Macaca fascicularis: one gene and its partner. The protein of the gene in region 2 interacts with the protein of the main gene of each other region in a biochemical or structural test. Links are inferred from orthologs where the notes say so. Each region holds a gene or a part of one and is shown on either strand. Other genes may lie near its edges.

Region 1 (4,405 bases), on a different chromosome or scaffold from region 2:
ACCTGCTGCTCCCGTGTGCACCAAGGGTTTTCTGTGTGGAGCCACAGCCCCGCGGGCACAGTCCTGGCCCATGTGCTGGTGGGGGCTGTGTTGGGAGAGGTTAGGGAACTTGCTGGAGGCTGACCCTCTGGAAGATCTCTACCGAGAGAGAGGCCTTTGAGTGTGGGCCTACTTTGACTGGGGCAGGATGTGAACACAGGCCCCTACCTCCATGCTCCTTACCTCCGCGCTCTCCAGGACTCTCTCAGCCTCCCATGCACAGGCCCTCTGAGTGCCTCCACTATAGAGATGGGGAGGGGTGCTACCGTGCCTGAGACCAGAGTCCCTGACCCTGCCCCAAGGTCCCAGGAGCCTTCGTGCTGTCTAAGCCCTGTGACTGCTCTGGGTTTGGTAAGTGCCAGGGCTCAAAAAATAACACCCCAACGTGTAAACCTCAGAAGCAAAAGTTTCTCTGTCCTGCTCCCACCCTCCTGTCTCCAACCCCTCCTTCTCCTCTGAGAGGCTTCCCCAAACCCTGCCGTAAAACCCAGAAATATGACTCCAGTTCTCCACTCCCTCCCCTTTCTGTGTAGAAACCAGCCTAAAGAAACCCCCTGGCCTGCTTTATTTGACTGGAGGTCATAAGAGCTCCATTCCAGAGAGGGGCCTACCCCACACCTAGAAGGAAGGAGAGCTGCTCAGAAAGGCCGCAGGGAATCTGACCCGACAGGCCCTGCCGGGTTCTCCTCCTGGTCTACGAGAGTCCGGCCGGGTTTTCCTCTTGGTTTATGAGCGTCCGGCCTTACTTTTGTGTCCAATCATATTTCCATACTTTGCTGAACTGTGTTTATGTTTGTAAACATGGACAGTTTCCCCCAGATCCTTGGGTCTTCATCTTGAAGGCTGCTGTGCCACATAAGCAACCATCAAATACATCTGTTATGCTCTTCTCCTATTCATCTGCCTTTTGCCCGCTGATTTTCAGCGAACTCCCAGAGGACGAAGGGGAGTTTTCCATTTGGCCCCACAGGGGAGGAGCCAGCGTGATTGAGGTGGAAGCTGGGCCTCTGAAGGACACAGGGTGTTCTAAGAAAGGGGTGACGGGGCAGATCCGTGTTCACACACACGCCCAGTGTGAATTCACTCTCAGACGTCTCCTCGTGTCAGCACGCTGGTGCCAGAACACTCTGATGTTGACACAAAGGGCCACGGAGTCACCACTCACTCCTCACACACTCACCCCGTGGCCGCTTACCCAGGGAGGGCCAGGGATGAGGACACCACGGTGGCTCAGTGATGGCCCCGAGACACAGGTGAACATTGTAAAATGCGGACGCCTGGAGGCAGCCCACACCATGGGCCTTGGCTGGGAGAAAGTTTCCAGAAAGGTCATCACAACGATGCATTTCATCAGAACTGAGCACATGAATGGGGAGGGGCAGGACTTCCTGAATGTCCCAACCCCACTGTCCCACCCTCTGTGTCAATATGAGGTTGCCTTATAAAGCACAAGAGGATGCCAGTGCGACATTTTCTCGGCCCTTCCAGCCCCCAGGAGGAAGGTTTGTCTGAATCCAGCACCATGACGGAACTGGAGACAGCCATGGGCATGATCATAGACGTCTTTTCCCGATATTCAGGCAGCGAGGGCAGCACGCAGACCCTGACCAAGGGGGAGCTCAAGGTGCTGATGGAGAAGGAGCTACCCGGCTTCCTGCAGGTGAGCCCAGGCCAGCAGTGCTGGACTCAGCAGGGCCTGGGGAAGAAGGGGAAGGCGTGGCAGGCAGAGGGCCGAGAGCTGCGGTGGGGTGGGGTCGGGTCGGCAGTCAAGGGGCTCAGAGGCAAGAGGGACAGATCCTGAAATGCCCTAGAAGCCCAGCCAAGGAACGGACCCACCTTGGCATCAAGGCAGGGGACGCTGGAGCATCTGAGCAGGGAGAGGGTATGGTCAGCTTGATCCTTGAAACATGGAGTTGACCCCAGTGTATTTGTGACAGGCCTGGTGGGAGAGTGGGGCTCAAACCTGTGCAGTGGGGGCAGGGGCGGAATGCAATCCAGGGCCGCCGTTTGCAAGTTTGCCAAGCCCTCGAACCTTCGGGGCTGTCCTCCAAGGCTGCCGGCCATAAACGCCCCAGCTCCACCTCCCACTTGTCCGCCTTCCCTGCTCCCATCCCCAGGCCCCTTGTTGCCTGGTATTAGTGGGGCTGGCAGGAAGGACAGGAGGAGGCTCCATCCTGGCACCTGTCTGCGCAGAGCTGCGGACCTCCCTTGGGCTCCCTGCCAGGGAGAAGCCACTGGCCTGAGCCTCACAGAAGGCCCCTTGGGGCGGCCAGGACCAGCTTCCTTCCACCTGGGGCAGCCTCCGTCTGGGCTGAACAGAAGCCTTCCCCTCTCCGTTTCCCCTTCTCTTTGACCGCTGTCCTCTCCTTCTTTCTCACTCCCCCACTTCCTTCCTTCCTTCCCCTCCCCTTCGGGCCCCACCAGATTCTGCCAACCTACCATCTAAGGGGCTGACCCACATGGCTGCTGATAATCGAAAATGAAAGCCTGACATTTTCAGCCCTAGAATCACTTCAAAGACATGAAACACTTCGGAAGATTGCTGCTTTTCTTTTCTTTTCTTTCTTTCTTTCTTTTTTTTTGACAAGCTGTCACTCTGTCGCCCAGGCTGGAGTGCAGTGGCAGGATCACGGCTCACCACAGCCTCTGCCTCCCTGGGCTCAGGTGATCCTCCCACCTCAGCCTCCCAAGTAGCTGGGACTACAGGTGCATGTCACCACAGCCGGCTAATTTTTGTATTTTTTTTTTAGAGACAAGGTCTCACCATGTTGCCCAGGCTGGTCTGAAACTCCTGGGCTTAGGCAACGCATCCACCTCGGCATCTCAAAGTGCTGTGATTACAGGCGTGAGCCCCAACACCTGGCCTCATTCTATTTTCTAAATGTAAATTCTGTAAAGATATCTTTTAAAAATAAAGTTCTGTTTTGGTAGAAAATGTAAAAACAGATAAATATGGAGGGAAGAAATCCCCCCTGGAATACAGACTCTTCCTCTCCCTTCCAGTCTTTTCCCCATGTGAACGTTGCTGTGAGTGGGATTTATATGCAGTTTAATTTCTTTGTGAGCTTAACATTACAGCATAAAATCTCAAACTCTGATGTTCATTAAACACCCCAGCCCCATCCTGGGAACTTGGGCTTGGGGCTCGGGGTGTTCTGATAATCATCAAAGGATGAGAATTGAACCCATGAGGACTTTGATCCAAGACACCGGGGTGTGGGGAAGCGCAGGTGTCCTGGGAACACACTCTGAGAAGCAATGGCTAAGCTGGGGGTCCTCAAACTTGTGTTACATTAGAATCACCTCAGGGATCCCAGGCGCGGTGGCTCACACCTGTAATCCCAGCACTTTGGGAGGCCGAGACAGGCGGATCACGAGGTCAGGAGATCGAGACCATCCTGGCTAACACGGTGAAACCCCGTCTCTACTAAAAATACAAAAAATTAGCCGGGCATTGAGCTTGCAGTGAGCCGAGATCGCGCCACTGCACTCCAGCCTGGGCGACAGAGCGAGACTCCATCTCAAAAAAAAAAAAAAAAAAAAAAAAAGAATCACCTCAGGGAGGCCCCGGGTGTCCTTCTCAGCCCTGCCTCCAGATGCTGCTGAAGCCTAGCAAAGCTGGAGTCGGAGTCAGAGAACAATGTCTGCCTGAGGGCAGGGCTGGGCTGGCCTTGTGGCCTTATCTCCTCCATGCCCAGCCCAGGCCCCACAGTTGGAGCTTTGTAAATACGAGGTGACTGGCTACAAACTTCGTAAACATCACTTGAAATGGCCGCAGGGTATTGTGACGTGGCCAAACCACTATTTGTTTGCTATTGAATTTATACTTCCCTGCCTTACTTTTGCTATTAAAAAACCATGCTGTCACTAAGGTTTTCATGCACACAGTTGTGTCTTGGTCAGACGATCTGTGTCTACCAATTTTAATTGTTTTTTTCCACCTGGACACACGGCTCTCTGGCCCAGGGCTGGGTCATCAGCACCCCCTGCTGCTGCTGTTCAGATCTGCATCCTGGTCCCTCTTGGTCCCATAGTGAGAATGCTTTGCCATCACATGGGCAGGCTCTGAGAGCCCTGCCGGCCTGGCCTTCTCAAAGAAGACCTGAGAGCTTGGGACCCCAAGCCAGGGTACCCAAGCAGAGAGGAATAACAGGGCTCAGGGTGGTCCGTGCTCGCTCCACACCTGGGACTCAACCCTGGCTTTCCCTGGCTCCCTGTGTGACCTCAGGGCAGGCCCCTTGGGCCCTCTGGGCCTTATCGTCTTCATCTGTAACAGGGCGATGCCTCTGCCATGCCTGGTGGTGTTGAGGAGTTCATGTTTGTGTAAGCAGCTAGTTCAGTGCTAGCACGAGATGGGATGCCCATG
Region 2 (4,426 bases):
GGGTTTTTTCGGTTTGTTTGTTTTTTTTTTTTTTCTCTTCTTCCTTTGCTTTGGGTTTCTCTTTCTCCCCCTCCAAGAGAAGAAGGGTACGGCTCGGAGGAAAACGACAGCCAACCCCTCCTCTCCTTTTGAAATAAAGATGTCAAGCTGGTAAGGGCTGTCTTAAGTACTTTATTGAAGAATTAGCTAGAAGAGGAAGTAAAGGAAGAACAGCCAAGCTGATTTCTAGCAATACCCTACCAGGCTACATAACAATGCTGCATTTTTTGAGTGTGTTTTTCTTCTTTTAAAGCGCTAACAGATCCTTGTTTTGTTTTTTCTGGAGCAAGAGCGGGCAAAAGGCAGGCTGTGATTAACATGCGTCCTTCATCCTACAAGAGAGAAGTTGTCCCATCTCCAACCCCTTAGGTTAAAAAGTTTAAAAATAAAAGCAAGAAAGCCAGGGCCCTGATCTTCTCTTTCCTCTACCCTGCTGAACCTTTCAGATGAGCAGCCTCACAGAATGCTGCTCTTTTCTCCCGGACTGGAGAGCTCCCCAAACGGAGCCTGCCAATGCCGGCTCTCCAGACACCTGGATCTGCCCACCTGCGCTGCCAGGGCTTGCTGAGTATGAAGACTGAAGTTCTTTGGTGTCACCCCACAGTCATCTAGGGCGCAGTGGCTCTCAAATTACACTAAGCAATCTCTCCATGTTTTTAATTACCCTCCAATTACCCACAAAGAGGCTCCTCACTTTCCAGCACCGCGTGCTTGCCTCAGTTTGCCAAACCTGCAATGTGCTTCTCCCTTGTAGCAGCTCCCTCCTTGTCCCAGAGAAGTGGCCCCTCTCAGCCTTGAAATTCCTCGAGTCCTTTGTCTATGGCATACTTGGGACACACATCACAGGCTGCCTTTGTATTTCACTCGTTCTGCCACTTTCCCCTTGAGGACTGTAAACTCCCCAAGGGCAGAGGCAGGGCCCGGGATTTCACAGGGCAGTCTGGCTCCCTTCTCCCAATCTCCATGACTCACAGTACCTTTCCGGGGTCCCTGTCATCTCCACCTCACGTTAGACTCATCTACGGATTTGTCTCAGTTCTCCCCTAAGTGCCCATGGGCATGGGCCAGGTCTTACTCAACTCCCATCCCCCACCACCTGCCAGAGTCCCTGGCACAGAGAGGGCAGTTAAATATTTGCTCAATTACACATCTGTGTCCTCTTCCCCCCACATAGCAGCCTTGTATACAAACTGACTATTATTAATTGAGTGATTGTCTCAAAAGGCCTCCCTCCTTACCAAAAAGGAACTCCTAAGCCATCAGGTGAGCCAAACACTGGCCCAGACAGTGGAGTTAGAATGGCCACAGTGTTGCGCCGCATGGAGAAGGAGCCAAGGTTCTCTTCCCTTTCCACAGTTACTGAACAGTTACTTTGAAATCCTGTTAAACCCAGAAAAGGGCGCAGTGAACCGAAAAGTGGCTGGGCCTCTCAACTGCCCGGTGGAGAGAGCGCCTGCCTCCACGACCTGGGACTTCCCAAGGAGTCTGCTCTCCACACCGGCTGGGTGGGGCCGAACGTTCACCCTGCCCCCCACCTCAGGACAGCCGGCAAGCTAGTGCTGGGGGTGCTGCCTCTCAGTTTGAAACAGCGGGGCTTTCCTGGAGGAATGAGGATGCCGCCGTCCTATCTCCTGCGCGTGGCCCCAGAACAGGATGGGGTGGGGACTCCAGCACAGGGAAGCGGGTGCGGGGAGTGGAGAATAGAAAACTCCGATCTGGCTCAAACAGGAAAGATGCAATCGCCCAGGCCTGGTCGTAACGGCAGAGCCAGCTGCCGCCGCGCCCCGCCCGGGCAGGATGGCCCCTGGGTGCGGTGGAATCAGGTGCACGCCTGGGCGGCCCCGACGGCTGCTGCATTCCGGGCCTCCCTCCCCCGGGGAACAGAAGTCGGAGGTCGAGGGCTGGAGCAGGGGCTGGGGGTGGCCCTTCCTGCCTCGCGCCCAGGTCCCCGCCGGGTCCTCCTTGTCCGGGCAGCCGCCGCACCTCCCCCGGGCCCTCCTCGGCCAGCCTGACGGCAGCGGGCGAATGAGGAAGTCGGCCGCGGAGGCGGAAACCGGGCCGGGTGCAAGGTCTGCAGCGGGACGGTCCGACTCTGACTCAGGAGGACGCCCTGACAGCTGCCAAACGGTGCCCGCTGCCCGTTACCTCCGTGCCTCAGACGCCAGGAACTTCCACCGGAGCGGCTGCCCCGGGCTCCCAACCCGTGAGGCTGGGTCCCAGGGGCCGCGGCTCCCGGAAGGGGTTAAAAAGTTTGCCAGAGTCGGGCCTGGGCGAGGCGAGGCGAGGGCGGGGCGCGTGCCCCAGCGGCAGGGGGAGGTCGGCTCCGGTGCCCAGTCCTGGGACCGCACCGGGGAACACGAGGGGCGCAGGGGAGCGCGGGTCCCGAGGCCGCCCCTGCACCCCGAGGCCTCGCTGCCGCCGGCCCCCTCCCCGAGTTCCCGCGCGGGGGTCCCGGTCCCCCTGGGAAGGATGCGGTGCCGGGCACCGGGCCGCCGGCGTCCGCGCCTGCCCGCGCGGGTGGCGGGCCGCACCGAGCCCAAGAACCACAAGTCGGCCCGGCGGCCGCGCGTCTCGCCCCCGCCCGCCCGCCGCCGCCTGCCCGGGGCGGGACCGCGGTGGGGCTCGCTCACCTGAACCTGGATCTGCCCCGGGAACAGGAGCTGGTCTCCCGAGAGGACTTTCTCGAGCGCTCGGGCGGCGGCCGGGTGGGGCGAGCGCACGAGGCGGGAGCTGCAGCAGGTCAGCCTTGCTCAGCCTTCAGTGCCCTGCCCAGGAACCGCGGTGATCTGCGCGCCTCACCGCACCCAGCTCGGCTCCTCGCCGCCTTCCCGCCCCGCCCTCGGAGTCGCGGGCCCATTCCCAGCCCGGAGCCGGCTCCGGGGCGGAGCCTGGAGGCACAATCCCGCCCTCCTTCCTGCTTCACCCACTGCAGGCCGCGCCTGGCTTTGATGGGCAGACGTGTTGGCCTCTGGAAAGGGGAGTGGGCGGAGCCTCTGCGGCCAGATGGGTGGGGATTCATCCTCCTCTTTCGCCCCCACCTCACCACCCGCTCCACCTTCCTCCGCTTCCTAGGCGGGAGCCCCGCCCTCTAGGGCGGGTCCAACGGACAGCCAGGTTCTAGGATAGGATTGACACAGAGGGAATCCAATCAGGAGGCGGCAACTCGGGGCGCGGAGGGCTCCGGGCCGGGATTTTGGTGCCTTGCCTGGGCCGGGGCGAGGCCCGCCGGGAGCCGACAGTGAAGGTCTGGAACTCCCCGCCCCGGAGGCCGACTGGGAAGGTCTGGATACCCCGCCCCGCGAGCTGTGCTCTCAGTCTCCTGTCATCCCACCAGAAGGACAGATATTAAGTACCATATATGGGAAAAATGCTATTTTACATAATTATGATCCCTGTGGGGGCGGGCATGGACTCAACCCTGGATTCCATTGTGGGCGTCTTGAGTTCGATTCCTGACCCTGCCTCTTTAGAGACCGCACGTTGCTGCCTTTCAGCCTCCAAACCTTTGCTCTGGCCGTTCTTTCAGCCTGGAATACCCTTCGGAGCCTCTCTTCACCTCCATGTCATTAACTCGCATACATCCTTTCAGATGCTTGTTACAAATTGCACTTTTTTTTGTTGTTACTGTCCACTACAAGAGGATAAAAAATGTTTTCATTTTTAAATGAAAAATCTTTTGATCCATCTGGAATTTATTTTTGGGGTGAGGAAGAAACCTGACATAATTTTTGTAAAAGCCACTTGTCCAGACACTATTTCCTCCACTGATTTTAGTTGGCACCTTCATCGCCTATTCAACTATTTTATACTTTAAGCTGTTTCTGACTTGTATACATTGATCTTTCTGTGTGCACCTGTGCCAATCCTTCAATGCTTTAATGATGATACCTTTATAATACATTCTATATCTATGAGGGTAAATTTCTCATCCTTACTCTTTCTTACTGGAATGTTCTTCCTATCATGACGAAACTGTTCTTCCAAATTAACTTCAGAAAAAAAACTATGTTCTAAAGGCAAAAAAAAGCTGGGAAAAAAAAGATTTTGCAACTCTGTGACAAAGAATTACTATCAGCAGTATATAAAGATCTCTTCCCAGTTGATAAGAAAAACCTCAGCGGGGCACGGTGGCTCACGCCTGTAATCACAACACTTTGGGAGGCCGAGGCAGGCGGATCACCTGAGGTTGGGAGTTCAAGACCAGCCTGACCAACATGGAGAAACCCCGTCTCTACTAAAAATGCAAAAAAATTAGCCAGGCATGGTGGCCCATGCTTGTAATCCCAGCTACTCAGGAGGCTGAGGCAGGAGAATCGCTTGAACCCAGGAGGCGGAGGTTGCAGTGAAAAGAGATCATGCCATTGCACTCCAGCCTGGACAACAAGAG

The links.
Region 1: the proteins of MYH9 (region 2) and S100P interact in a biophysical measurement, tested with the Homo sapiens proteins (2 studies listed by IntAct). The link is inferred for Macaca fascicularis from reciprocal best matches to the Homo sapiens genes MYH9 and S100P.

What each region holds. Positions count from the first base shown.
Region 1 is NC_088379.1:6,400,758-6,405,162, reverse strand, and holds the start of S100P (protein S100-P), read left to right. Parts: upstream 1-1,508; 5' UTR 1,509-1,561; coding exon 1,562-1,699; intron 1,700-4,405.
Region 2 is NC_088384.1:15,293,409-15,297,834, reverse strand, and holds the start of MYH9 (myosin-9), read right to left. Parts: upstream 2,830-4,426; 5' UTR 2,670-2,829; intron 1-2,669. UniProt on the Homo sapiens protein: Cellular myosin that appears to play a role in cytokinesis, cell shape, and specialized functions such as secretion and capping. Required for cortical actin clearance prior to oocyte exocytosis. Promotes cell motility in conjunction with S100A4.